Linked DNA regions of Xenopus tropicalis. The protein of the gene in region 4 interacts with the protein of the main gene of each other region in a pairwise test. Links are inferred from orthologs where the notes say so. Each region holds a gene or a part of one and is shown on either strand. Other genes may lie near its edges. The genes, in order: ube2i, lgals8, arhgef3.2, trim23, gem, trim29 and nek6.

Region 1 (4,205 bases), on a different chromosome or scaffold from region 4:
GAACAGAAGCCACTGTATGTGCTGGCTAATGAATTCTTGTGAGTGGCTTGGTCATGGAGTCGGTAATGGCTGGGACAGCAGGGGGCGCTGTTGGTATAATGTTCATAGCCTGTATGCCCTAAAGTTTACCCAATAAATTTGCGATATCATTGCTTAGTGACTTGCAAGCTGTTATTTTGAGACTTTTCCATCCTTGCCATACATCCTGCTATTTACTACAACCATCCTAATAATAATGTTGTAGTTTAGTGGTCCCCAAATTCTGGGGCTTCTCAGGGAGGGAGGGGGGGGGGGCATGGGGTCAGCTTGCCGGCACGCGTGCAGCATGGAATTGCTAAAGTATTAATTTTCATGCCCAAATCTACCTGTCAGCGCACACGTAAAGGAAAGGAAGGCAACAGGTTGGTTTTCTCTGCTGGCATACCATGCCACCGCTGAACTTGGCACTTGTGGTCCAAAAACTGTCCAGTTGCCATAGCAGAGCACAGCAAACTCTTTGCAGTGACAGGCAGCCTCTACTCTGAAATGCTTGCTTTGGCATAGCCCGCTGCTGCCAGTGCCAGCACCCATAACCATAGGAAGAGCATTACCCAGTGTGTGCTGCAGCAAGCAGTGCCACACCTTTGTGTGAGTTTTGACCTCAGAGGATGGGAGTGGCAATTATTGACGGCTCCAGATGAGTTTTCTGGGTGATTCCTTTTGGTACATGCGTCACCAAGTGACAGAATTCAGAATTTAATATTAGTTATGCATTGGAAATGTGTTGATGTAAATCTCAATATGAAGGAAAATCCTTGTGGGTGGGGGACTTAACTGTGACAGCCTACTCAATGCTGGGCCAGGAGCTGCCATTTACACATTTGGATTTGCGCTTACCGCACTAATATGCCTTTTATATGCGCTCTTAGACTGTTATACCAAACAGCCTGGGAAGCATTGCAGGGTTCCTTGTACAGTGTTTATGATGTGCAAGTAGGGTGTATCTTGGATTATTATCCTGATATCTGTGGTACGTATAATATAAAGGGTTACATTTATATTATGCTGCAATGGTCACAAACCGTAATTTTGCCCCATGAGGTAAGAATACAAATACTCCAGTGTTAACAAAACTCTACAAAATGACATTTACCTTTTAAAGTTGCTCTAAGAATAATATATGTTTACACTAATGTGGAAAAGTGGTGGTTTTACTGCCTTTACAGGACGCATTAATGCTTTTGACTCTTTACTGCCTCGGTAATAAGCATATACGTTTCATATTCAGATTACTAGAGTTCAACCACTAGGTGTCACTGTCATGCAAGTTTTTGGATACATTGCAGTAAGTTTGCTTATTTTCTGTTTAAACTATGTTTGGTTATGTATACTGTTATTTCACCAGTATTAATTTCTTTTCTGCAGGAACCCTGAAATGTCTGGCATAGCCCTGAGCAGACTTGCACAGGAGAGAAAAGCGTGGAGAAAAGACCATCCTTTTGTAAGTTCAAGAAAGTGAAAAACTAACCAGAACAGTGTTCTCTTCAAGAAATAGTATAAGTAGTTTAAAAAAAAAAATCCTAAATTGTTAAACTGCCCTGCCCTTTTAAGATGCAAACAACTTAAAAACTAATACTTTGGGGGTTTTTTTCTTATCTATTTTAAGGGTTTTGTGGCAGTACCAACGAAAAATCCAGATGGCACAATGAATTTGATGAACTGGGAATGTGCTATTCCAGGCAAGAAAGGGGTAAGTGTTAGAATCCTTCCCTGAAACAGCAGTACAGAATTTCTACCTAGCAGTGCTCCCTTGATACCATAAAATAGCCAAATAAGTGAAGCAACCTTCTGCAACCTTGCATAACCAATGTACAACCTTAACACACTTACATTCAGGTGTAGCTGCAGTTAGCAGGTATTGCACTTTGCTTGGTTACAGGATGCACCATTGCCTGGCACCCAGGGGCTGTGACACATGCAACCCTATGGAACACTCGAAGGAAACATGCAGGGGGGGCAGTTTTATATCCTACATCTGATCACATTACCAGCTTGTAAATGCTGTTTAGGTGTAAAAGGACAACCTTTCATGCACTGAACTAACACGTATGCACTATGCTACATGTCTGAGGACAGATTATAATGGCTGTGGATGAATCCTAGGCCATTAAAATCCCTTGAAGGACCACATCCAGCCCATGGAGCTTAAAAATATCCACTAAACCTCCTGTTTATTGACTTTGGGGACTGAAATGCCCCAGGGTCTGCAAGTGGAGTGAGGTGAATTGTGATTGGCAGCAGTTAGGTTTGCTGCACTGGGCTTAATGGAACCCATCTGAGCAGGGCAGCAAAATAGCTTCTGTGTTTGGTGCTAAAATGACGCTTGGTCATTTAAACATGATTTACTCTATTTATACAAATGTTTCCCTTTTAAATAAGCCACAACTACCCATCTGCTGTGTGACTACATATTCCTCAGGGGAGATGAAGGGTTCAAACTCTCTAGTGGCTGTGTGAGCTGTAATAAACACTACAGACTGCAATAACATGCAATTTCACTTCATGGCTCCTCCAGCCAATCCTCCTTACCAGGAGCAGGAATGGTTTGTTTTTTTTGCAATCTGTCACCATAGTACCTGCAAAAATATTTTAAAAAAGACTAGAGTGAAATTGGTGACCTATGAAGAATATTGTCTCTTGGAGAGAAAAAAAATAGTTTAATGTCCTGGTTATGGACTATATTAAATCTGTTTATAAACCAGTGATTCTACCCATAACTTATATCTGCAATTTCATTTTTTCTTCTTCTTGCAGACCCCTTGGGAAGGTGGCTTATTTAAATTACGGATGCTTTTTAAGGATGATTATCCCTCCTCACCTCCTAAATGTAAGTGCCTTAATTCCTAAATCCCTTCCTTTAAAACCAGTGCTTCTCTTGTTAGAAGCATGTGTATAGGGCAGGGTGATGATTGCCTATCCCAAGGAAATGGAGATAAAAGATTGGCACTGTAATGCTCTGAAGGCTCATTCCCATGATGCTTTACCTTAGAAATTGCTCTGTTTTTGTTTTTTTGTGCTGGTGAATAATAGATTCAAGGCTCTCTGAGTAAACTACATGGTCAAAAGTATGCTGACACTAAAGATTCGGCAGCTAATCGGCCCGTGTATGGGCAGAACCGAGCGGCCTGGCCGACCGATATCTGGCCTGAAATTGGCCAGATCTCAATCGGCCAGGTTAGAAAATCCAGTCGGATCGGGGACCGCATCGGCTCGTTGATGTGGTCCCCGAACCGACTGCCCCATGCCCCATACTCGCATATATACGGTACATAGATGCTGGTGAAATGCGATCGCTGCGCGCGCACCTACACCCCTTCCTCCGTGGGCCACCTGCACGCGCGGCATCATACGTGCAGATTCAGACATGCGGCAATGCTCAGACGTGCCTGGATACAACTGCTTTATGCATAGGAAAGTGACGAGCAGCGCCAGCATCGGCTACTCACCAGGAACGAGCACAGTCAGGCACCGATGCGACACGCATCGGCGGCGGTATCAGACCGCCTATGGATATGTGACAGCAAGTGTAAGAAATGGCTGTAATATATATATATATATATAATATTATAAGTCCCCTTTCCTAACTGGCTCCGTCACATTATGAACATGGGCATAAAGACATTAAAATTCTGAAGTGTGTCAGCACTGCTCAAAATTTGCTCCCTTGATCCCATGTCCTTTTTCTACTTAAAGGGATATTATCATGATTTTGTTTATTCTGTAATACTATTACACTGTGCGCTTTGCAAATAATTCCTCCTACCATTTCAAACTCCAGCTAATTTCAAACTAATTAATGTTTGGTTTTTTTGTCATCAATCTCAATTTATTGTGCATGGTCGTTTGCTTGCAGTATGTTCTTCAGACACTACTGACTGGTATTCAATTCTTATCTTATTTTTCTCCTTGTCTTCTTTTAAAGGAACAGTAACACCAAAAAATGAAAGTGTATAAAAGTAACTAAAATATAATGTGCTGCTGCCCTGCACTGGTAAAAGTTGTGTGTTTACTTCAGAAAGTCTACTATAATTTATATAAATAAGCTGCTGTGTAGCCATGGGGGCAGCCATTCAAAGGAGAAAAGGCACAGGCACATAGCAGATAACAGATAAAACACTATTGTATTCTACAGAGCTTATCTGTTATCTGCTATGTAACCTGTGCCT
Region 2 (3,331 bases), on a different chromosome or scaffold from region 4:
ATTAATTCAATTGGATTTTTATCTCAACCAGTAAGTATGAATACATATATTTCCACCCATAGGAATGGGTTAATTGTGCCCATACCTGCATGTATTTGTGAAGCACATGTATGTAACTTATCCATTACCATTGTCCTTTGTCACCAGTATTCCCCCAAATAGCAGGTAATAAATGCAGTAGAAATAGAAAAATGCCCATGCAGTGGATGTAATGAGGTTTTACACCCTGTGTTTTAGCAACAGTGAGTGAATGCACATGGTTTCATGGTGGCTGATGCTTTCCTGACATGAATATAGCAGCCACCCGTAACACAGTTGTCCCCCATGCAGTATTTATTTGCATGTTTCCACCCTGGTTAAAGCCTCTCATTTTTGGTTTCAAGGTAATGATATATGTAGCATACAGCATGTAAAGATAATACCTCCTGTTTTGGGAAGGTTTTTACTGCATTTTATGCATTGTTGTGGGCTTTTTGGCTTCTTTTAGCCCATCTCAGCCTATTCTTTAGGGTTTGTCCATTTGGTTGGTTTTCAAGGCCTCCTTCTCGGAAGCCATGCTGCAGGACTTGTATTAATGAAATCGAAAAATATTGGAACAGGCTGTCTGCTATTGTTTTCCCTAACCTGAATGTGGGCCTTATTAGCTTGCACCTCTTGTAAGGGAAACAAATACAGGGTTATATGTGCACTTTAAGTCATAACTTGCTACTAAAAGTGAGGGGTCATTTACAATACCCTGGGGTGCAAGTGCTAGGGTGCTAAGGTTAGTGCTCACTTAAGAGCCTGAGTAAGCTGCCAGAAGGCACACCAAAGGCAGGCGGTAAGGTTGTGCAGGTTAGACCAGTGTTTTTCAACCTTTTTTGGGCAAAGGCACACTTGTTTCATGAAAAAAATCACGAGGCACACCACCATTAGAAAATGTTAAAAAATTTAACTCTGTGCCCAGCAGCAGTGCCCCCCTAGTACATTGGTGCCCAGCAGCAGTGCCCCCTAGTACATTGGTGCCAAGAGCAGTGCCCCCCTAGTACATTGGTGCCCAGCAGCAGTGCCCCCCTAGTACATTGGTGCCAAGAGCAGTGCCCCCCTAGTACATTGGTGCCCTGCCTACGGCACACCAGGCAACATCTCGCGGCACACTAGTGTGCCGCGGAACAGTGGTTGAAAAACGCTGGGTTAGACCATGCACATCCTGATAGGGGTGATAGGGGCAGGTGTATGTCTGTGTACTACCCTCTGCCTGCCCCTCTTGGTTTAAGATCTGCCTAACACAGGCAGCACTTGATTCAATCTGCAGGCTACAGGTCTCGGCTACTTACACAATGCACCATGCAGTGTACAAAGTGCATAGGTTGTTGCCTTTTCATGTACTTTGCATTTTCCATGGTTCATTGTAAATGACCCTTAAGATTTTCATTGTAATAATGTACAAAACCAGTTTTGTTACTGAGAAATATCATTTATTCTGTGCTTCATTTTGGCTTTTTGTGTGTATTGTATGCTTGCCATTTGCTTTTATGAAAATATTCTTCGTTCATTTTAGACAATTCTGGGTTCACAGCCAACATCTTTTGCTGTAAACAGCATAGAAGGAAATCAGGTAAAATAGTTTAGATATTAAAATAAAAGACAGGACTTCATATGCTGTTCTATCTCTCATGCTGTTGTTTTCTTTTTTAATTACAAACAGGGAAGATCAGAAAAGCTGCTGACCTTTGTAAGTGCTTTTGAGCAAGGAAATAACATTGGAATAAAATGTTTCGTAATGATCTCAAGCCATAACAATTTATTTATATATTAACCAAGAGCCATGAATATCCTGTTTCATGTTTATTTGCAAAGGACTGTCTGGGTGCCAGGTCCCCTTTAATGCATCCATTTTTGCTAAACAGCAGTTTTAGCTCTTTGTAACTAAGCCTAATGTGTAAAACATGTAACTCGGCCAATCACCACAGGTATGCTTGGAAAACAGACTTGGTTGAAGAAAAGCACACCCTGTTAACTGTTAGGAATGGGGAACTGTTATGATTTTAGGGGGTTGAGAGGCATTACAAATAATTTGTTATTAGAGAAAGTTTGGATTCTAAAAGTTTGTGCTAGTGCCAAATAGCCTGTAATATTAGTCACAGCATGTAGCTGTCCAACCTGTTAGGGAAATGTAGTTAACCAGTAACTAAATGTGATGGAAGTTGCAGTTACTGAGTCACCCAGACATAAAAAGCTGTATAATAAAAATTAAATGATAAAAAATGCAAAATAAACATGAAGCCCAAATTCTTTTTCTTATTAAATCATCCATACCTGTTATAAATATGTTAAAAGATCTGAGATATCCTATATTGCTTTTCCATTCAGCACTCCCTATATATCCCTCCAGTCCTCACATTCCCTCTCCCTCCTCACACCCTAAAATTGTGCAGCATGAAAATGGGCTTCAGGACCTCCATTTTCACACATTTTTCACAAGATTTGGGGGTGATGCCAAACTTGCATTAAGGGGGTAGTTCACCTTCAAATGAACATTCAGTATGTTCTTAGCAACTTTAACAAGATATAACAAGATATAAATCATTTTAGTTTAAGTAAAGTTTATTTTGCTCAATTTAATGATATTTAACATTTCACCAATAAACATGTAAGATGTGTTGATTTGTGCACAGTTCTAACAAACATACGTGACCCTAACATATTCTCTTTTTTTTATTTAGTCTGTTCCTTATACAGGATGCCTTCCTAGTGCTCTCATCCCTGGGAAGACTGTGGTCATTAAAGGAGAAGTACACAAGTATGCTAAGAGGTGAAACCCTTTTTATACAAATACTAAAGTAAATCAAAAACCTTTGTGAATCATGTGCATTACCACACATTTTCTTCACTTTCTTACTAATGGCACTTTACCTTTTATTCTGTCCACTTACCCACAACAATCTACCAGATGTATGTTTCCAGTATATAGTTTGTATTTTAAAGGGATCTGAGCCCAAATAGGAATTTGATCATTCTGCCTAATATTGTTTTATTAGCACACACTTTTTGAGGGTTTTTGGCACTCTGAGCTCACACACATTCACACACACACACACACACACATGTATATGATATATACATACACAAATATACTTTTTAAAATATTTTTGTATTTTGTGTTATTTTGCCCCCCCAAAAAAGTTTATTACACAGTGTTGCAGTTTCAGTTTCTCATTTTTTTTCTGCTGTAAGCAGTTAATTGTATTGTGTTTTGTCCTCTTTAACCCATTAATTTTCATTTGAGTTAATTTCACTATTGATCACTGTTCAATACAACAAATAAGAAAAAAACAAAACATTTTTGTTT
Region 3 (3,500 bases), on a different chromosome or scaffold from region 4:
CATCTTGCCCTGCTGTCTCCATCTTGCCCTACTGTCTCCATCTCGCCCTGCTGTCTCCATCTTGCCCTACTGTCTCGCCCTACCTGTTATACCACAATCTCACAGTCTATTTCCATCTGGTGTGCTGCGGGGCCCCTTTTTGGAACCCCTTTAGGCAGCTCGGCTAAGCATAACACTAGGATCGCAGCTGTGCCCTTATTATACACAATGAAATAATGTCTCATTTTGAGGCAGAAGTGGAAGCCAGAATTATTTGACTAAATCGCGCTGAGTGTTACACTGAGCTTTTCTCTGTGAAGAGGAAAAAGAAAAAAAATCCCATAAAGCCGCGGGTCCTGTGATGTGTTTAATTTGGAGTAGGACGTACACCTTGGTTGGCTTGTTTGACTCAAGTATCCCTGTGTGCCATATGGTTGTGTTTTGGGGGCCGTACAAAGCCGGCATTTATAGCAGAGCGGCCGGGGCAGGACGGCGCTGACCTCATCCCAGGCTTTGTTTAATGGGGAGAGCGGCCGATTGCGTGACAAGAACTTATATTCTCCATATTCTCAGTGGCTCGTAATGTTCCCACCTTCCCCAGCCCTGACCTCTCTGCTTGCCGTTCAGGGAACTGCCATTTAATCCCTTTCCACTGAAGTGGTCAAACGCCTCCCCCCCTGGAAGAAAGGGTTTATTGGTTACAGTTGTGAGCCCCCAGTGTACTCGGCAAATGATGTTTTGACTAGACGGCCCTGCAACGTCACGCACACAGCTGTTCTCTCTGGGCCCCGAACCATGGCTTTCTTTATACTAAGGATTTAGTGCAGACGTTTTCACAGCGAGCGATTTTCCCAAAGCTGTTTCCACTTACAATCGGCAGCCTGAGAATATGCGGCCGAGGGTTCCCTGAAGCTTATTTGCACAGGCCCGGCGTTGGGGAGAATCCTGCAAAATGACAGTGAGATATGGAACTGTGCGGCCCTGCGGCTGTTCTACTGTATTGGCTGAAAGTGCAGGGAGTTATAGTTTAGCAACAACACAAGGGTGGCATGGTTAGTATTGAACTGTAGCTGTTTGAGTGTCAAGGCGGAAGCCATATGGGGGAACTAAGGTCTTGGCCCAGTTTCATCTAAATACTAAATGGATCTGTGTTGACCAACTGAAGGCAAAAGTCTGTTTATAGAGAGCCCTATGCCCACCCCTGTCACACCCAATCACAATGTGACATATTAATGTGCCCACAGACTAATAAACCAATCACATCACTTATATTCCTCACTATACACATTGCAACAACATCCAACATGTGGCATTGTGGCCACATCCCCATTTAGTCCTGGCTCTGACCAGTATATCTGAGATGCTTTTCGATGTGGGAAGTAGGAGACTGTTACTATGGTCGACCAGGAAAAAAAGGCCCAAAACCAGGCGGCTCAATATCAATTCAAAAGGGTTTACTAAACCGCCTGGTTGAGCCGTCTGGTTTTGGGCCCTTTTTTCCTGGTCAACCATAGTAACAGTCTCCTACTTCCCACATTGAAAAGCACCTCAGATAAACTGGTCAGAGCCAGGACTAAATGGGGACATGGCCACGATGCGCCCAAAAACCACTACAGTGTTTATGCATTCCTTCTGGCCTTCCCTTTCCCTTCCTCTTTCTAATTGGGCAGACAATAAGCCTTCAGCTATTGGTAGACTGGGACCCTATTATACCACATATAAACATCTTGAGCCCCAACATAAACTCCAGCCCAGTCTACACTTGCATAATCAGAAACCATTAAAAAAGCAGTATATACTATATTACCATTTCAAAGCCATACTTAATATGCGACTGTAGCAGCCAATTATATGTTGCCTCATTATATGTGCTCACCCCATCACTGTTTTACGTTTCCAGCGCTCCATCAGTTTCCGAAGTGACAGCCGGCCTGATTTGTTCACCCCGCGTCCCTGGTCAAGAAATGCACCCCCTCCGATCACCAAGCGCCGAGACAGCAAGCTCTGGAGCGAGACCTTTGATGTCTGCGTCAATCAAGTGCTCACATCCCAAGAGATCAAGAGACAGGAGGTAGGCTTAGGCCCCTCACCGAATTACTTCTTGTTAAAACAAAAAAAATCTTGACATATTGTGAGTGGGTTTCTTAGCATGTGTCGGTGGCAGTCATTACATGGCAGCTGGAGAAAGGAATCGCACATCAATCAGTTTAAACCCCCAGTTCCCACCTAGTTTCCTCTTTCATCCAGTATAATACCATAAAAGCCACAAATAACCTGAAATATAATACATATGCATATAATCATGGTTTAGTGAGGTCACTAGAGTCAGATAACTGAATGAAATTTTAGTATTGTGAAGGAATATAAGGATATTAGAAGTTATGTTGGAATTTTGTGACCATTATATCAAATATTGGAAGAATACCCAAGAGTAGGGTTTACTAATGGTATCCAAGAACAAAAAAATACCCAAGAATAGGGCTCACCAGTAGTATCCAAGAAGGAAAGAACACCCAAGGTTCATCCAGTTCATCCAATGACATCCAGAATTGGAAGAATACCCAAGAGTAGGGCACACCATTGGTATCCAAGAACAACAGAATACCCAAGAGTAGGGCTTGATAATGGTATCTGACAACAAAAGAATACCCAAGAATAGGGCTCACCAAGGGTATCCAAGAACAAAATAATACCCAAGAGTACGGCTCATCAAGGGTATCCAAGAACAAAATAATACCCAAGAGTACGGCTCATCAAGGGTATCCAAGAACAAAAGAATACCCAAGAGTAGGGCTCACCAAGGGTATCCAAGAACAAAAGAATACCCAAGAATAGGGATCGCCAGTGGTATCCAAGAACAAAAGAATACTGAAGAGTAGAGCTCGCCAATGGTATCCAACAAGGGCAGAATACCCAAGACTAGGGTTCACCGATGATACCCAGAATTGGAAAAATGCCAAAGTATAATGCTCACCAAGAAGGGAAGAAAACCCACAAATAGGGCTCAACAGTGGTATCTGAGAATAGAATAATATCCCAGTATTTAAGGAAGGAAGAATACCCATGCCAATAGCAGATCTGCTTAGCAGATACCATTAGTGTGCAATATTCTTCAGTATACTTCTGTTCTTTACACAGTACCCTCGTCTAAATTGTTATGTTTCTTTATCCAGATTACTAGATTGATATTTGTGTACCTGCTATTAATATTCGGGGGGAATAACTAGCAGCCCCCCAGCAGCCGCTCATTGGGAGCTTGATCCCAAGTGTAAAACCCTTGCACCTTCTTCAAATGAAGTAGATTTCTTAGTTAAACAGGGGGGGGAAGTCCCTACTAGCAGGTTATCTGTGACCGTAAGGCACTGCTTTGTGGTGCGCCGGAGGAGTAAAGGAGAGGAAGTAGAAGGTAGGCACGCTATGGTCTGGTTTCCTGTAACTCAAAGCGAGATGAGCCTGTTCTTCAGTTATCACACAGGAAGCGAGAGCAGCATTTTTTAGGTGTTAACATGTACCTGTGAATG
Region 4 (3,500 bases):
AGATTTGGGGCCTCCAAAAAAAAGCACGGAGAAAAGCCAGTCAGGTCACTTCTTAAGGTTACCTGATGGTCTTTTCTGGCCACATACACAAATAGATGACAGACTGGCAACAAAATGTGCATTATTATTCTCTATGCATTGCCTTTAATATCACTAATGGCTTGTAGACACGCTTTTTGGGATATGCTTGGTTTAAACATCTCGCAATCCTTATTCTGTACCATTGAATAGGTTCCCGGAACCGCTGAGAATGCCCGGTCCTGTGTCAGAGCCTATTTTTCCGACCTACATGAAACACTTTGCCGCCAGGAAGAAATGGCCCTCAGTGTCGTTGATGCCCATGTGAGAGAACAGCTAATGTGGCTTCGGCAGCAGCAGGAAAACATGACTATTCTCTTGTCTGAAGTGTCAACTGCTTGTCTGCACTGCGAGAAGGCTCTCCAGCAGGTATCCAGCACTTGTGAGCATTCCCAGCATGCCACACCTTGCCTTTGCTAAAGGACTCTAAGGAAACACTTTTCTGCGTATTTACACTGATACATATGGTTTCTATATGTATCCCTTTTGGGCTTCACATTCAGTTGGATTTATAAAGAAGAGTCGTAACATTGGTTAGAACATACAGCATGCTAGCAGCTTGTCCAGAATACATGATAATATCACAAACATATAAGTGCTTATTTATCAAAAAGGAAAACTTGTTCGAATAAAAAAACTTGAATATCTTAGATTTTTCGAGTTTACAAACTCAAAAAAGTGAGATATGGCCTGGCTTTGCTTATGACTCCTATTGACTTCTATAGAAACTCGCAAGCTTTTAGATGGCTTTCGGGTTTCATGCACTTAATAAATACCAGACATTTGAAAAAATCGAACTCAACTGTTGTTAAATTACCCCCTAAAGGCTCTGGCACAGGGGGAGATTAGTCGCCTGCGAAAAGGTAAGTCGTCGGTGGGATGGCACACGCTGGGCAGGCGATTTTGGCAAATCGGCGAAGTTGCCTTGCGAGGCATTTTCGGTGATTTGCCGAAATCGTCTGCGCAGCGTGTGCCATCCCACCGGCGACTTACATTTTCGCAAGTGGGATGGTAGTTCGGGGAGATTAGTCGCCCGTGACAAAGGAGATTTGTTGCAGGCGACTAATCTCCCCGTGTGCCAGAGCCCTTAGAATTAGTTTAACACTCCAGCATTTTTATTTATTTTTAATAGTCCACAGAAGCAAGAGATTCAAAGAGAAAGAACTTTTGCTGTAATTTATGGCAATGGCTCGGCTAAAGCAATCAGTATGGTTTCTCCTAAAAAAATATATGTGTATATATAATATTAAAAGTGACACCCATTATTGCTGTGCCACAGGATGACTGCAGAGTGGTGCTTGCCAAGCAGGAGATTACGCGACTTTTAGAGACTTTACAGAAACAGCAGCAGCAGTTTACAGACCTTGCAGATCACATCCAACTGGACTCCAGTATCCCTGTCACATTCACAAAGGCAAGTTGTATCCTATAATGTCTTTGGGCAAACTAAACCTAACTTTGGGCATTCTTATTTCATATCATACGCTGCTGCAGTGTAAATATCTCTGCAGTAAATCACATCGACAGGGTTATATTTTGGAATGTTCTGTAGCATGATAGGGGAGGTTTTTACAGACTAAGGGTGAATATGGTGGTACACAAGCTGGAGGAATGCCAGACTGGGCTTTGGGATGATGATTTTGTTATGCTGAAAGTGAAAATGAGTGAATTCAAATAAAATGTGTCCTAAAGTGACTTAGCTCAAACACAGGCTTCAGTATAATAGAGAATGTGTGGGTAAATATTAGGATTCAAAGAAGATGTAAACTTTATAACTGCAAAATAGCTAAAAGTTTGGCTAGGCAGGTAGATGACTAGATTGCTCTCATCCTTCTACTTACCCCACCATATTGTTTGTTCAGAAGACTCGCATGTGATCATAAAAATCCATCAGAAAGAGGTGATTTGTATGCTGAAGCAGGACTACTTGTGTCTAGGCTTATGTTCTTGTCTGTTTTGTAATAGTAATGCAGGGACATGTTGATGCTTTACAAAATTGAAATAATATTTTGCCCTTTAATTTGCAGGATAATAGAGTTCATATTGGCCCAAAAATGGAAATTCGTGTTGTGACATTGGGATTAGATGGAGCAGGAAAAACCACCATTTTGTTTAAGCTAAAACAAGATGAGTTCATGCAACCCATCCCAACAATTGGTGCGTAGTGTCTCCTAGCTATTGGCTGGTCTCAAAACAAATATATATATCTAGATTCTGTAAATGACATGTACTAGGTTATAAACTTCCCTGTAGGGCAAATGTATAATAAGACCTTGTAGTTATTGTGTCTGTCTGTAAACCTGTGTGTAAGTGAAAGTCTTTCCCATCTGTATCTGTAACACACTTCTTCAGCAGTAACTGAACTACAGGACTTTCAGCAACTCCCTGCATATGTCAGGCAGCTTCCTATCAGGGGTGCATGAAAATCGCTATTTCCATAGTTACACTGTAATACACTTTCAGTGAGTTGTGTTTCTTGTACTACAATAGTATGAGCAGAGATATTTATGACCCTGATACCTAGTTACAATAATATTCTGAAATGCTTTTTGTTATTTGCAGCTATCTTTGTTCCCAGGGTTACTTATAATAACTAAGCTTTGACATGCTGCTATGGAGATCAGTGCCTCTAATGAAGTGGTTCCCATACTGTAGGGGTGGCCCACCTAGGGGGAACCAGATCCATGGCAGGGGGCCCACACTAAAGGACAGTTAGGCTTAGATTTGGGGAAGAATGGCTCTTTATTATTCTAAATAAATGATTATATATACTGTATATTTACCTTTAATGGCACATATCCCTGTGCTTGTGAAGCAAACCATTAACCATTCTGCTTGCTCTGTAGGGTGCACTGACTGCTGATACCTACCAGTGACAGGCTTTGCTTGCTACCACAGTTTCTAGTTGCACCTTACTGTTTCTTTTTGTGGTTTACAGAAATCTTATTTTTTTAAAGGTTTTAATGTGGAGACTGTCGAATACAAAAACCTGAAGTTTACAATTTGGGATGTTGGAGGCAAACACAAACTTAGGCCACTGTGGAAACATTATTACCTTAATACCCAAGGTAAGGAGGCCATGTGCTGCTAGGCACTGCAGTCTAATGCTGTTTGGCCTTTGGCACATGTGCTGTGCTACAGACCAGATTAACAGTTTGGGTTCCTAAATGTTTATAAAGCAGTGTTTAAGTAAGTTCCCTAAATGTCCCTTGAGACTATTGTCACTCTTAAGAAACTGGCTTCTTTTTATAGTCTCTCCTGTCAGCATCACTAAAGTACTAGCGTACTTTATACCCATGACCATTTGATTTATGGTTGCTATGGGGTGTTTCTGCCGTATTCTGCCTCTGGGCACCTCCTGTATTTAATGCTCTTTTTCAATTCTGTTGTTATGTTCCCAATAGAAAACCAATTCATGACAA
Region 5 (4,036 bases), on a different chromosome or scaffold from region 4:
AGAGACCAGACTGTTTAGACCATATAACAAAAACTTTCCAAATCCAGTATTCCAGTTCAGCTACCTCATTCAAGCAGGCTATCACTCCTGTGCTCCTGTTGTAGCACTAATTGCATGTAGACATCATATAAGATAATGGAGGACACCTGACACTGCAGGGCTTTGCTGCAATTAGTGTTTATTAGTGTGTTCCACTACATGTTTTGGGCAAAGCCCTTTATCAAGTGAAACAAGACAAGTATAACAAGACAGCATAGGGCAGTTTTAGTGGTGGTTGGTGTCCATAGCAAAAGTAGATCTGTCCAAACTTAGTAGTTAGTAGTAAGAACAGTTTTCAGACATCCAGATCTGCTGGGAGTTTTGTGCAAATTGGGCGTCCAATATTTGGCCATATTACATGGGAACTCAAACAACATTATATTTAAAGAAGGCTAGCTGTTGGCTGGTTTGTTGGATGCATTAATTGTGACCTTACCTGCTAACATATCGCAGTCACCATCCACAGAATCAGGCACCCCTGCAAATATATTAGCCAGAGTAGACTTCCCAACTCCTTGCTCCCCAATCAGCACCACCCGGTAGTAGGTACTCCCAGACTCAGAAGAGATGACGGAGTCGGAAGAGTCAGATGACCAGCTTCTCCGGCAGTACTCCGCTGAGTTATTGATGCTTGTGTTATTGGCGGTGTATTTGCGGGTGAGGTTAGAGTGCTGCTTTTTCTGAGCGTGAATGTTCTTTGCATCAGCCGGGATGCTCCATCGCTGCTGTACATTGGCCGTGGTGTTGCTGCGACGCATGGTCACATTCAAAGTCATCGTTCTCTGGCTGTGGGGGACAATGTAACAAAACTTGTAAAAGTTGCAGCACTTTTCTAGCAAAAAAAAACCAGATGTCAATGCAGGACTCAATGCTGGAGAAGCTCTATTAACTGTCTATGACAGTATTCCTTTAAGATAAGTGCTTCTCAGCCTGCAGCCCATCAGTAGTTGGTGAGCTACAACTACCAGCAACTCCCTTTGGCTGGTGGGTGCTGGAATTGTAGTTTAACAACAATTATAGTGCAAATTCTGGCTGCCATTTTTGATAAAATATTTTAGAAGTATTTGTGTGTTTAGCAACCCACCGCAAGTCTGGGACAGCCAGAACACAAATCTTATTGCAGGGATTTGGATCCCCAAACTATTGAGTCTCCAGGATCTTGTGCTACAAAGCTGCCCCTCAAAGAATTCCAGCTTTGTCAGTACCCAGGATCACCACTAGTGGCCGCACACGTGTTCAATAAAAGGTCCATAAATTCACAGTGTTTAAATCAACAAATCAGCTCAGTCAAGGAGGTTAGGCTTCTATTGTCTAAACATGGCTTGCTGTGGCATCTGAGAGTCGCGCTTTGCTGCTGGGGTGCAAATTACACTGCTCCAATCGACTACCATGTTTAGTAAGGTTATTTGCGCAGACCTAGCAGCACCCCAGAAACTCATTCCGAATTTTTGCAGTTACATATAGAATAATAAACAGTTTGCAGTTATTTGGATAGCAGCTCTATCAATCATTATGGCATGCAAAGATTTGTTGTCTTTAAGCCCAACTTTCATATAAAATGTTATTAAAACAATGCAAAAATAATTCTTTAAAATATTTTTGGGGGGTGGCTGTTACACCTAAATATGCAATGTGCTTTTATTGTCACTATTATAGCTTTAATTTTCCTTTTACGAACAGTACACAATACAGGTATGGGACCTATTATCCAGAATGCTCGGGACCTGGGGCTTTCTGAATAAAGGATTGTTCTGTAATTTGGATCTCCATGACTTAAAGCTACTAAAAAATAATTTTAACATTAAATAAACCCAATAGGATTGTTTTGCCCCCATTAAGGATAAATGATATCTTAGTTGGGACCAAGTACAAGGTACTGTTTTATTATTACAGAGAAAAATGAACCATTAATCATCATCAATCATTAATCATCAAAATCATTTTTAAAAGTTTGAATTATTAGATTAAAATGGGAGCAGAATTTTCTGTAATTTGGAGTTTTCTAGATAATGGGTTTCTGGATAATGGATCCCATACCTGTATATACAATTTGCTCTAATTAAACTGTATGCCAAGCACATGAAACCTATTCCTTTCCCAACAAATTACACTTTAAAGTGCCACAATTCTGTGCATCATAATAAGACCCCTGTATTAATGATTCTAATGCATGCTGTCAATTGATAGTACAGGTATAGGACCCATTATCCAGAATGCTCGGGACCAAGGGTATTCCGGATAAGGGGTCTTTCCGTAATTTGGATCTCAATGCCTTAAGTCTACTAAAAAATCAATAAAACATTAATTAAACCCAATAGGATTGTTTTGCATCCAATAAGGATTAATTATATCTTAGTTGGAATCAATTACAAGGTACTGTTTTATTTCTACATAGAAAAAGGAAATCAGTTTTAAAATTCTGAATTATTTGCTTAAAATGGAGTCTATGGGAGATGGGCATTCCGTAATTCGGAGCTTTCTGGATAACGGGTTTCCGGATAAGGGGGTCCGATACCTGTACTATATACACACAATGATAATGATCGAGGGAGTAATTATGAATATTATGAACATTTAGTTGGTGTGTGCCATTCCATATAACTATTGAGATTGGTTTGGCTTTGTTCATAGCAGAAGTGTATCTGATCACTATACTCCACAGGAATTCATCTATAAATGAGCATTTTGGGAAGCACTTACCTTTATTGCTTGTCCCCTTATACTCTCCCCCTGAGCCTGGAGTCCTGAGTGTAGAATAGAGAGATCTCTCAGGGAATAGAATAGTTGGATAAAGTGCTGCTTGTCCGTTTCCCTGACTTTCTCTAATTCTTTCTCAGCTCCTCTGGTTTATATTAAGCTCGGTGGCTGGGAGACAGGGCTTTTCCGTGATGTCACGATGAGCATTACACCAGCCCACTGCAGCAGGAGAGTGGCCGGGGAGGCTGGAGCGGAACCTCCTGTGCACTCACACAGGCAGCAAGAAATCATTTAGCCACTAGAACTCCACTCATTCATTTTCCAGTAAAATTATATGGTCCAGAATGGCAGCAAAGCAACTTGGAAATGAATTACAGTGAATTAAGGAACAAATAGAATGGGGCAATACATTAGCTGTGTGGGGGTGGTACAATAATGGGGTGTCCTAAATCCTACTCTGTCTTTATTACCTGTGCAGGGGTCCATAGAGAGTCCAGCCATGTTTAGTTCGAGTACAGGTATGGGACCTGTTATCCAGGATCCTAAAGTCCTGGTTTTTTCTAGCTAAGGAATGTTTCTGTAATTTGGATCTCCAAAAAAAAAAGCATTTAAACATTAAATAAACCCAATAGGGGTAGTAATTCTTTAAAATATTTTGGGGGTGGCTGTTACATTAAAAGCACATTGCGTATTTGGCTATGGGACTTATTATCCAGAATGCTCGGGACCTGGGGTTTTTTGGATAATGGATTGTTCTGTAATTTGTATCTCCATAACTTGAGTCTACTAAAAAAAATCATTTTAACGTAAAATAAACCCAACAGGATTGTTTTGCCTCCAATAAGGATTAATTATATCTTAATTGGGATGAAGTACAGGTACTGTTTTATTATTACAGAGAAAAAGGAAATATGTTTTACAATTTTGAATTATTTTATTAAAATGGAGTCTATGGGAGACAACCTTACCGTAATTCGGAGATTTCTGGATAATGGGTTTCCATATAACAGATCCTATACCTGTATAAAAAATACACTACCTGGTGGGCAATTTGTAAGTGATGTAGCCACAGAGGATTTACTCTTTATGCTGCTCTAGGCCATGCTGTTGTACATTTAAATATACATTATGACTACATTGCTTCTTTGGGGCTGATTTATTATTATTTGTGCTTGATTTTTGCAGCAAAATAAATTATAATCATGTTCTTTTTCTCGACTGGGGTTTCACAATTGCAAAAATGCTGCAAGTTAGACCTCCTTGATGTAAATAATGACAGATATTTAGGCATGCCAACATT
Region 6 (3,500 bases), on a different chromosome or scaffold from region 4:
ATCCCTTGCTAGTACACATTATCTTTAAGTTCAACAGGACCTTTGCGTGGGACTCAGCTAGTAAAAACTTTCATTTCTAAAAGAACTTGCTTCCTTTAGAGGGAATCACCCTTTTAATTTTTCACTCTGCCAAAATTACACTTTGCCCTCAAAGTAATCACTCTTTCAAATGTTACAGTTCTGGAAAATAGCCAACCATCTAGTTTCTCTTGTAAATAGATGCCCAATGTTTATTAATATTCCTCCCTTAAGGTTATTATCCAGTGCTTTTCCTAAATCATTTCATCTCATGGCATTTCAAAGCTGATACTCCAAAAGGTTAAAACAGATTGTATAAATATGTCGGTCTGCACTAGAAATGTGCAGCAAAGTCTCCCAGCTTGGTGCCTGAACACCTTGCTAAATCACAAAAATGCTATTACCTTTCAAATCATTTCTCAGGTGAAGAGATCAGCTGTGCTTTGTGGCTAAAAAGCCCCACAAAGGCCTGTACATAGTAACTGTATCTTCAGCAAAAATGAGCAAATCTCTTCTCTAGGAGTGAGATAAAGATCCAGTGAACCTAAACATCTGCTCCTTTGTAAAATGTAGAACAATTTGTTAAAAGCTATTCTTTTAGAGGAATACAAATGCACAATATGCACAGTTGGTGGCTTGCTTTATAATAGCTGCTAAGATTGAAAAATAACTTGTCTGAATCTCATTCTGCTTTAATTATATTTTTGGGGCACCACAGAAGGTACCAAGTTAATTTTAATTCAAATCCTTAGAAGTTTAAGAATAAGATGCATAACTGCCAGTGCTGTCCAACTTCTGTGGTACGGAGGGCCAGAATTTTTCTGGCCTAAATGGTGGAGGGCCAATAATGGAAGTCAATTTTGACCGCTCCCCGTTTTTAAATTGCACCCACTTCAAACCACACCCATAATATCACAAGAGCTTTTAAGACTATACCCACATTACTGGTGGTAGCACAGCAAGAACTCAAATGGTTGGTGCTTACTGTAGAGATATCAGCCTTCATTCATATGTGAAAGGATTATATTATGTCATATTAAAACATACATTTAAACCCTTATGCCTCCTCTTCCCCTGTGGATAGCATAGCAACCCCCAGCACATAATTATACACCTTAGGGACCATATAATGACTATTTCCAAATGTTAACAAACTCCCAAACAAAACCTGACCAAGTTCACCTCCCACAGGCAGCACAGGGCAGGCAGAGTATGGAACACACAGGCAGCATAGGGCAGGGAGAGTATGGCACACACATGCAGCATTGGGCAGGCAAAGTATGGCACACACAGACAGCATAGGGCAGGCATAGTATGCCACACACAGGCAGCATAGGGCAGGCAGAATACTCTGCCTTTGTGTGCCATACTATGTTTGCCCTACCCTGCCTGTGTGTGCCATACTATGCCTTAGGTGTGAACAATGCAGTGCTTGAACAATGCAGGGACTAAAATGTGTGAACAGTACAGGGGATTACATGTTTAAACAATTCAGGGGTTTACAGCCTGAATCTGAGGTGTGAAAAATGCAGGGGGCCAGTTAATCTCAGTACTGATTCTAATTAAACCTTACACAAAGGTAAGTAGGCACAGCAGCCACATCAAACACATCAAACACATAAAACAGCTGTTAGATTAGACAGGAGCTGATGTTGCAGGGTCTCGACAGGGCTTTATGATGGTCATTTTCTTCTTTCTCCCCAGTTTATAAAATTAGTGATGCTAATATTTTAAACATTTTTTTCTTTCTAAAGGAGTTTCAGATAGTGATCAGAAATGCACCCCCAATCCCTCCATTGCCTACCTATACAGTTACATTGGATGGAGAAAAGCTGACTCATGCCATGGGAAGTTTGAAAGAGGAACTAGCGGCAAACTGCAGGAAACATGTAGATAAATACAGCAAGAATGAGGCATCAAAGAATTTGGTTGAAAAGAATGGTAAGAACCCACGAGCACAAACCAGTAAATAAAGTCAAACGAGAGAAAACAGCAGATCCAAGCAAATACCCAGTAACTGGTATTATGCTGAGGGAAAACACCAGAGAAAGGACACGGTGCATTTTATATTTACTTTATGGATATGTTTAAAATATATTCCTTAGCATAAATATTAAATGCCCCGATCACCCTTGAACTCAATATTTCTTTAGTGCTTCCATTAATGTAGCTGTAAGGGTGTATATGTCAATACAATATTTTCTGGTAATGGGTTGCTGTTCCCTACTCATTAGGTACTACACTCTTTTAACTTCTCTGTTGCTCTCCAGTTGCAGCATATTTATGCTTATAAATATATAAACCCTCCTAATAAATACCAGTGGGAGAGTAAAGCGTACAGGCTTTGTGCCCTTGAACCACATAGACCTTTGTAGTTCATATTTAATGAATCCAGCTTTGTACAGTTCATGCTCATCAATTTGTGCGTGGAGCAGTGAAAATCTATTTTTTTGCCAGTAATAAACAGCTATTTAAATCTGCTGTTCTCAATTTCTCAGGATGTTGCACAGAACATAGGTGGCATGTGGGGGACTTAATTGCTTTTTCTGAAATTTATGTCAACGCTAGCAGTTATTTCCTTGGCATGCTGTTTCTTTATTAACCAAGTCACCTCCCTTTTTGGAAGACACCAGAAATGAAACAGATTTTTCATAGACTTTTGCAATATTGTTCTTGGAAATTGAACTGTGACCTGATTTGACCGTAGTGATTTTGCATAAATTTGCATCTATATACATTTGTTTATAGATATTATTTGTGTCATGAAATTCCATAAAAAAATTCCAATACAGCATTTAAAATAAAAACTGGCTAATTATAAGCTGAACTTACTTATAAAGTGTGGGCATTTCCAAAGCAATTTACAGAATATAATGTTTCATAAAAACAAATGACACTGAAAGTTGGAATAAAGTGAAACAAATAGACAAAAGGCACTAGAGGGGGCCAACTGACTAGAACAAAGTATACATGAAAATAAGAATGCTTGGTTTTGAGAAATTACACAGGGATATACAGCTCACACCCAAACAACTAGGCAGCTAGATTAATGTTTATGAATGAATAATGTTTACAGTGTTAAAATTATACTGTAAATTATATTCTTAGAAAATGTAACTTACTTAAATGGTGCCTATTTATGAAGTGTAGCAGCGGGATTCTCCGGTGGTTTCCACGCATATTTAAATCATCTCACTTTTGAGCTTTAAAAACTTTCCATGGGATGTTAAAGTACAGAGGTGCTAAAGTACAGGTATGGGATCAATTATCTATAAACCCATTAACCATCTATAGTCAGGCTACTATTTTTTTTGTAGCCTTACAGCATTTGGTTCCAAATTTTGGGGGGAAAAAATCAGCAGAAAACAGTAGAAACAGCAGCTCCCAAGCATTCAAGATAATACTACTGTACTACTTTTTGTGATAAAATATAGCTATGTAATAAAATGCAAACAAACTCCTATAATTTTAATAGCATTTAA
Region 7 (4,230 bases), on a different chromosome or scaffold from region 4:
GTTTGACAAGCAAAATAATCTTCACTGACACTATATAAATAATATAAATTATGTTTCCTTCAGTCTAGGAATTACACAATCACAGCAAGCAGGCAGCTGCCATTTTGTGGGCAGTTATTAAGGCAAGCAAATTCTAGTTTATGTGCCAGAATGGGGACCTAATGCCCATGCTCATGTACTGGCTACATAGTGAGATGGTGAAGAGGAAGGGGGAATGTGAGTGTCAAATAGAAAGTGAAGGCAGGGCCGGAACTAGGGGTAGGCAGATGAGGCAGCTGCCTAGGGCGCAACGATTGGGGGGTGCCAGGCAGAAGCCTCGCCTGCCTACCCCTAGTACCCGGTCAGCTGTTGTGCGCCGTGCTGCTTTGCATCGCACACTGCGCCGGGCCCCCCCCCAGGCGTGAACTGCGCATGCGCATCAAAACACATGGGGGGGTGCGTGATGTAGGTGCAGGGGCGAGGTAGCCGACCGGGTTGCCTAGGGGGCCCGGTCAGCTCGGCCCGCCCCTGAGTGAAGGTAATTGTCTGCCCTGCTTCTATGCCTAAGGCATAAGGGCGGGGAAGGCAATATATGATTGACAGCTGAGATTTCTAAATGCCTTTATAATGGGTATGTATGTGTTTAACGAATAAAGGAATTAGGGTTTCATGTTTACTGTGAAAAAAAACTTTTATTATACAATTTTTATGACTGAGTGACAGGTCCCCTTTAAAACTGCACTGTGTAGAAAAAAAAGTGTTGTTTTTATTTAGGAGTGATATTTTGAGGGAATGGATACAAAGCGAAAACAGGCAAAATTTCCACCGTCACCTCACGTTTTTTCAAATGTAGGTATGCTTTGCGCCCTACGTTGTAAATATGGTTGCCACCTTTTCTGGAAATAATACTGGTCTTCTTATATTTTAAACCGTCTTCCCTGTAAACATTTGCAGCAAACGATATCCAGATAGCAACTCTAGTAATAAATGACCCTTATAACCAGAGAACTGAAATGCATAATAAATTCCAGCTTTCAGTAACAATTTTACTTTAAGAGTCATTTCCTGTGGCCAGGTGGCAACCACAGCCAAAAGGGAAATTCAGACATTTCCACAAGGACTCCTACTTCAGCACTGTCACATTTCTCATGCAGTAGGAGCTTTTATTTGTATAAGTACCGGCTGCACATCCGCAAGTCAGCCCAACAACAAACTGCAGGAGTTCCTACTATGTGAGAAAGTTACTTCCAAACAATGAATTGGTAGTTGTTTTAAAATGGATTCTAATTGGCTACTTTTTATACACAGCCAATGGCGTCTTTTGTGCATGACAGACAGCCAATCAGGAGCCCTAACTCTAGGCCAATAGAAGTGCGCATTGCATCCTGCGCTTACTCCAGTCAGTCCGCTTCTCAGGGAGGCTTAAGCCTGTCATTGCTGCAGAGATGACACTGAGCGGGCAGCGCTAACAGGAAGCGGGAGCTTTGGGGCAGAGTTGAAGGTATGTCAGACCGACGCTACTTTCATAAAGTTACTTTAGCAACAGGTGGAACAGTGGGGATTCTGGAATGTCTTTTATCCCACTGTCCTCCCTGACAGAGAGCAGCTGTGTGCAATTCTGTGTATAGTAAGTTATCTCTCCCTGTTTCCTTTTCCCTACTTTCATCATACAAGAAGCGGAACTCTTATCTGCTTGCAAAGCTGAAGGGTCCCTAATAGTAAATCAAGTAAAAGCATTTCCTACTGTACTTTGCGCCTTTAAGTGTGATGTTAAAATGCGATGTGTGTGCGCTGCTCTGGCTATCAGCTTGGGCAACAGATGTGCTGGGCAGGGGGGTCATTTTCTGCAGAAAGTTAGGGGATTACTGACACTTTTCAGTTGATGTTTTGGTACTGGTACAAGTATGGGACTTGTTATCCAGAATGCTCAGGACCTGGGGTTTTCCAGATAAGGGTTCTTTCCGTAATTCGGATCTCCTACCTTAAATCTGCTAATAAAATTATTTAAACAGTAATTAAACCTAACAGGATTGTTCTGCCCCCAATAAGGGGTAATTATATCTTAGTTGGGATCAAGTACAGGTACTGTTTTATTATTACAGAGAAAAAGGAATCATTTAACCATTAAATAAACCCAATAGGGCTGTTCTGCCCCCAATAAGGGGTAATTATATCTTAGTTGGGATCAAGTACAGGTACTGTTTTATTATTATAGAGAAAAGGGAATCATTTAACCATTAAATAAACCCAATAGGGCTGTTCTGCCCCCAATAAGGGGTAATTATATCTTAGTTGGGATCAAGTACAGGTACTGTTTTATTATTACAGAGAAAAGGGAATCATTTAACCATTAAATAAACCCAATAGGGCTGTTCTGCCCCCAATAAGGGGTAATTATAACTTAGTTGGGATCAAGTACAGGTACTGTTTTATTATTACAGAGAAAAGGGAATCATTTAACCATGAAATAAACCCAATAGGGCTGTTCTGCCCCCAATAAGGGGTAATTATATCTTAGTTGGGATCAAGTACAGGTACTGTTTTATTATTACAGAGAAAAGGGAATCATTTAACCATGAAATAAACCCAATAGGGCTGTTCTGCCCCCAATAAGGGGTAATTATATCTTAGTTGGGATCAAGTACAGGTACTGTTTTATTATTACAGAGAAAAAGGAATCATTTAACCATTAAATAAACCCAATAGGGCTGTTCTGCCCCCAATAAGGGGTAATTATATCTTAGTTGGGATCAAGTACAGGTACTGTTTTATTATTACAGAGAAAAGGGAATTATTTAACCATTAAATAAACCCAATAGGGCTGTTCTGCCCCCAATAAGGGGTAATTATATCTTAGTTAGGATCAAGTACAGGTACTGTTTTATTATTACAGAGAAAAGGGAATCATTTAACCATGAAATAAACCCACTAGGGCTGTTCTGCCCCCAATAAGGGGTAATTATATCTTAGTTGGGATCAAATACAAGGTACTGTTTTATTATTAGAGAGAAAAAGGAAACCATTTTTAAAAATGTGAATTATGTGATTAAAATGGACGGCCTATCCGTAATTCGGAACTTTCTGCATAATGGGTTTCCAGATAAGGGGTCCAATACCTGTACCCTGTTGTGGCCAGTGTGGTCCTGAGGCCAATGTGTATTCAAGGGAATTGTACCCCTATGTTGCAATAGAAACTACGCTCAGTATTGCACCATGTTGGCATTTTTCACCAGGTAGAAAAATTTATGTCTTATTGTACAGTGCTGCAGAATATGTTGGCACTTTATAAATAAATGTTAATAATAATAAATAATAATGTTTAAAAGTGATTGCACCAATTTCTGTGTATACAGTATACTTGACAAGGACTAAGTTAGCCACCTTTTTGTGTATATTCCTATTTTATAGCTTTATTTATGTTAAATGTACACAGCTTTTTATGCATATACAACCCGGCACTGAGACTGTGTGTGCGCATTTATTCATGAGTATACACTGCTTTACAATGAGTTGGACAGAGTGCATACTGTCTGCACTGAGTATGTGCACAACTTTTTATGCATATTTACCTAACGCTAAATATGTGCCCAAATTACTGTCTTGCAAAGAGTTGGGCATTTCTTTTTCTGGCTGGTCCTGTGTCCTACTTGGCACTGAGTATCTGTGCAATTGTATTGGTGTCTTTGCTGTTTGGCACTCAATTGGGCACAGCTTTCTGTGCCCATACAAAGTGTTTGCACAATTTTCTCTGTACATACAGCTGGGTAATGAGTTTTGTGCTGCATTCTGTACTGCCTGGCACTGAGTGGCTGACAATTTTTAGGTGTACTTAATGTCTATTGCTGACTAGGCCACAGTGTTCTGGGTCTATACTGCCTGCAACTATTACTTTGATTTCTGTCTATAGTGCTGTTTTTGTCATAAGGGGAAGTGGAAAACTTGACTCATGTATCAAAAAGTTGCAAATTTCAAGTGAATATTTTCATTTACCTTAGACCAGTGGTTCTCAACCTTCCTAATTCCGCGACCCTTTAATACAGTTCCTCATGTTGTTGTGACCTCCAACCAAAAAATTATTCCCAAGACCATTGGAAATATGTGTTTTACGATGGTCTTAGGTGACCCCTGACCCACAGGTTGAGAACCACTGCCTTAGACCCTAGGCTGGTGCTTCTGTCTGGTGAAAAGTGGTGCAGTTTCTTTCATGATCCTCTGCCCTAGAGATCCTCTGCCCTATTACGATAGTGCTCA

What was found.
Region 1: the proteins of trim23 (region 4) and ube2i interact in a two-hybrid assay, tested with the Homo sapiens proteins (3 studies listed by BioGRID and IntAct). The link is inferred for Xenopus tropicalis from reciprocal best matches to the Homo sapiens genes TRIM23 and UBE2I.
Region 2: the proteins of trim23 (region 4) and lgals8 interact in binary tests that used the Homo sapiens proteins (3 or more experiments, as listed by UniProt). The link is inferred for Xenopus tropicalis from reciprocal best matches to the Homo sapiens genes TRIM23 and LGALS8.
Region 3: the proteins of trim23 (region 4) and arhgef3.2 interact in binary tests that used the Homo sapiens proteins (3 or more experiments, as listed by UniProt). The link is inferred for Xenopus tropicalis from reciprocal best matches to the Homo sapiens genes TRIM23 and ARHGEF3.
Region 5: the proteins of trim23 (region 4) and gem interact in binary tests that used the Homo sapiens proteins (3 or more experiments, as listed by UniProt). The two-hybrid records come from large-scale screens. The link is inferred for Xenopus tropicalis from reciprocal best matches to the Homo sapiens genes TRIM23 and GEM.
Region 6: the proteins of trim23 (region 4) and trim29 interact in binary tests that used the Homo sapiens proteins (3 or more experiments, as listed by UniProt). The link is inferred for Xenopus tropicalis from reciprocal best matches to the Homo sapiens genes TRIM23 and TRIM29.
Region 7: the proteins of trim23 (region 4) and nek6 interact in binary tests that used the Homo sapiens proteins (3 or more experiments, as listed by UniProt). The link is inferred for Xenopus tropicalis from reciprocal best matches to the Homo sapiens genes TRIM23 and NEK6.

Annotation. Positions count from the first base shown.
Region 1 is NC_030685.2:28,777,798-28,782,002, reverse strand, and holds the start of ube2i (SUMO-conjugating enzyme UBC9), read left to right. Parts: upstream 1-1,405; 5' UTR 1,406-1,414; coding exon 1,415-1,480; intron 1,481-1,645; coding exon 1,646-1,729; intron 1,730-2,793; coding exon 2,794-2,866; intron 2,867-4,205. UniProt on the Homo sapiens protein: Accepts the ubiquitin-like proteins SUMO1, SUMO2, SUMO3, SUMO4 and SUMO1P1/SUMO5 from the UBLE1A-UBLE1B E1 complex and catalyzes their covalent attachment to other proteins with the help of an E3 ligase such as RANBP2, CBX4 and ZNF451.
Region 2 is NC_030681.2:41,510,304-41,513,634, reverse strand, and holds part of lgals8 (galectin-8), read left to right. Parts: coding exon 1-30; intron 31-1,540; coding exon 1,541-1,597; intron 1,598-1,687; coding exon 1,688-1,714; intron 1,715-2,705; coding exon 2,706-2,794; intron 2,795-3,331.
Region 3 is NC_030680.2:148,936,559-148,940,058, forward strand, and holds part of arhgef3.2 (rho guanine nucleotide exchange factor 3), read left to right. Parts: intron 1-1,879; coding exon 1,880-2,050; intron 2,051-3,500. UniProt on the Homo sapiens protein: Acts as a guanine nucleotide exchange factor (GEF) for RhoA and RhoB GTPases.
Region 4 is NC_030677.2:187,794,819-187,798,318, forward strand, and holds part of trim23 (E3 ubiquitin-protein ligase TRIM23), read left to right. Parts: intron 1-231; coding exon 232-447; intron 448-1,357; coding exon 1,358-1,492; intron 1,493-2,105; coding exon 2,106-2,235; intron 2,236-3,035; coding exon 3,036-3,146; intron 3,147-3,500.
Region 5 is NC_030682.2:127,877,549-127,881,584, forward strand, and holds the start of gem (GTP-binding protein GEM), read right to left. Parts: upstream 2,801-4,036; 5' UTR 2,740-2,800; intron 826-2,739; 5' UTR 816-825; coding exon 476-815; intron 1-475. UniProt on the Homo sapiens protein: Could be a regulatory protein, possibly participating in receptor-mediated signal transduction at the plasma membrane. Has guanine nucleotide-binding activity but undetectable intrinsic GTPase activity.
Region 6 is NC_030683.2:79,169,478-79,172,977, forward strand, and holds part of trim29 (tripartite motif-containing protein 29), read left to right. Parts: intron 1-1,772; coding exon 1,773-1,959; intron 1,960-3,500.
Region 7 is NC_030684.2:29,296,823-29,301,052, reverse strand, and holds the start of nek6 (serine/threonine-protein kinase Nek6), read left to right. Parts: upstream 1-1,430; 5' UTR 1,431-1,480; intron 1,481-4,230. UniProt on the Homo sapiens protein: Protein kinase which plays an important role in mitotic cell cycle progression. Required for chromosome segregation at metaphase-anaphase transition, robust mitotic spindle formation and cytokinesis.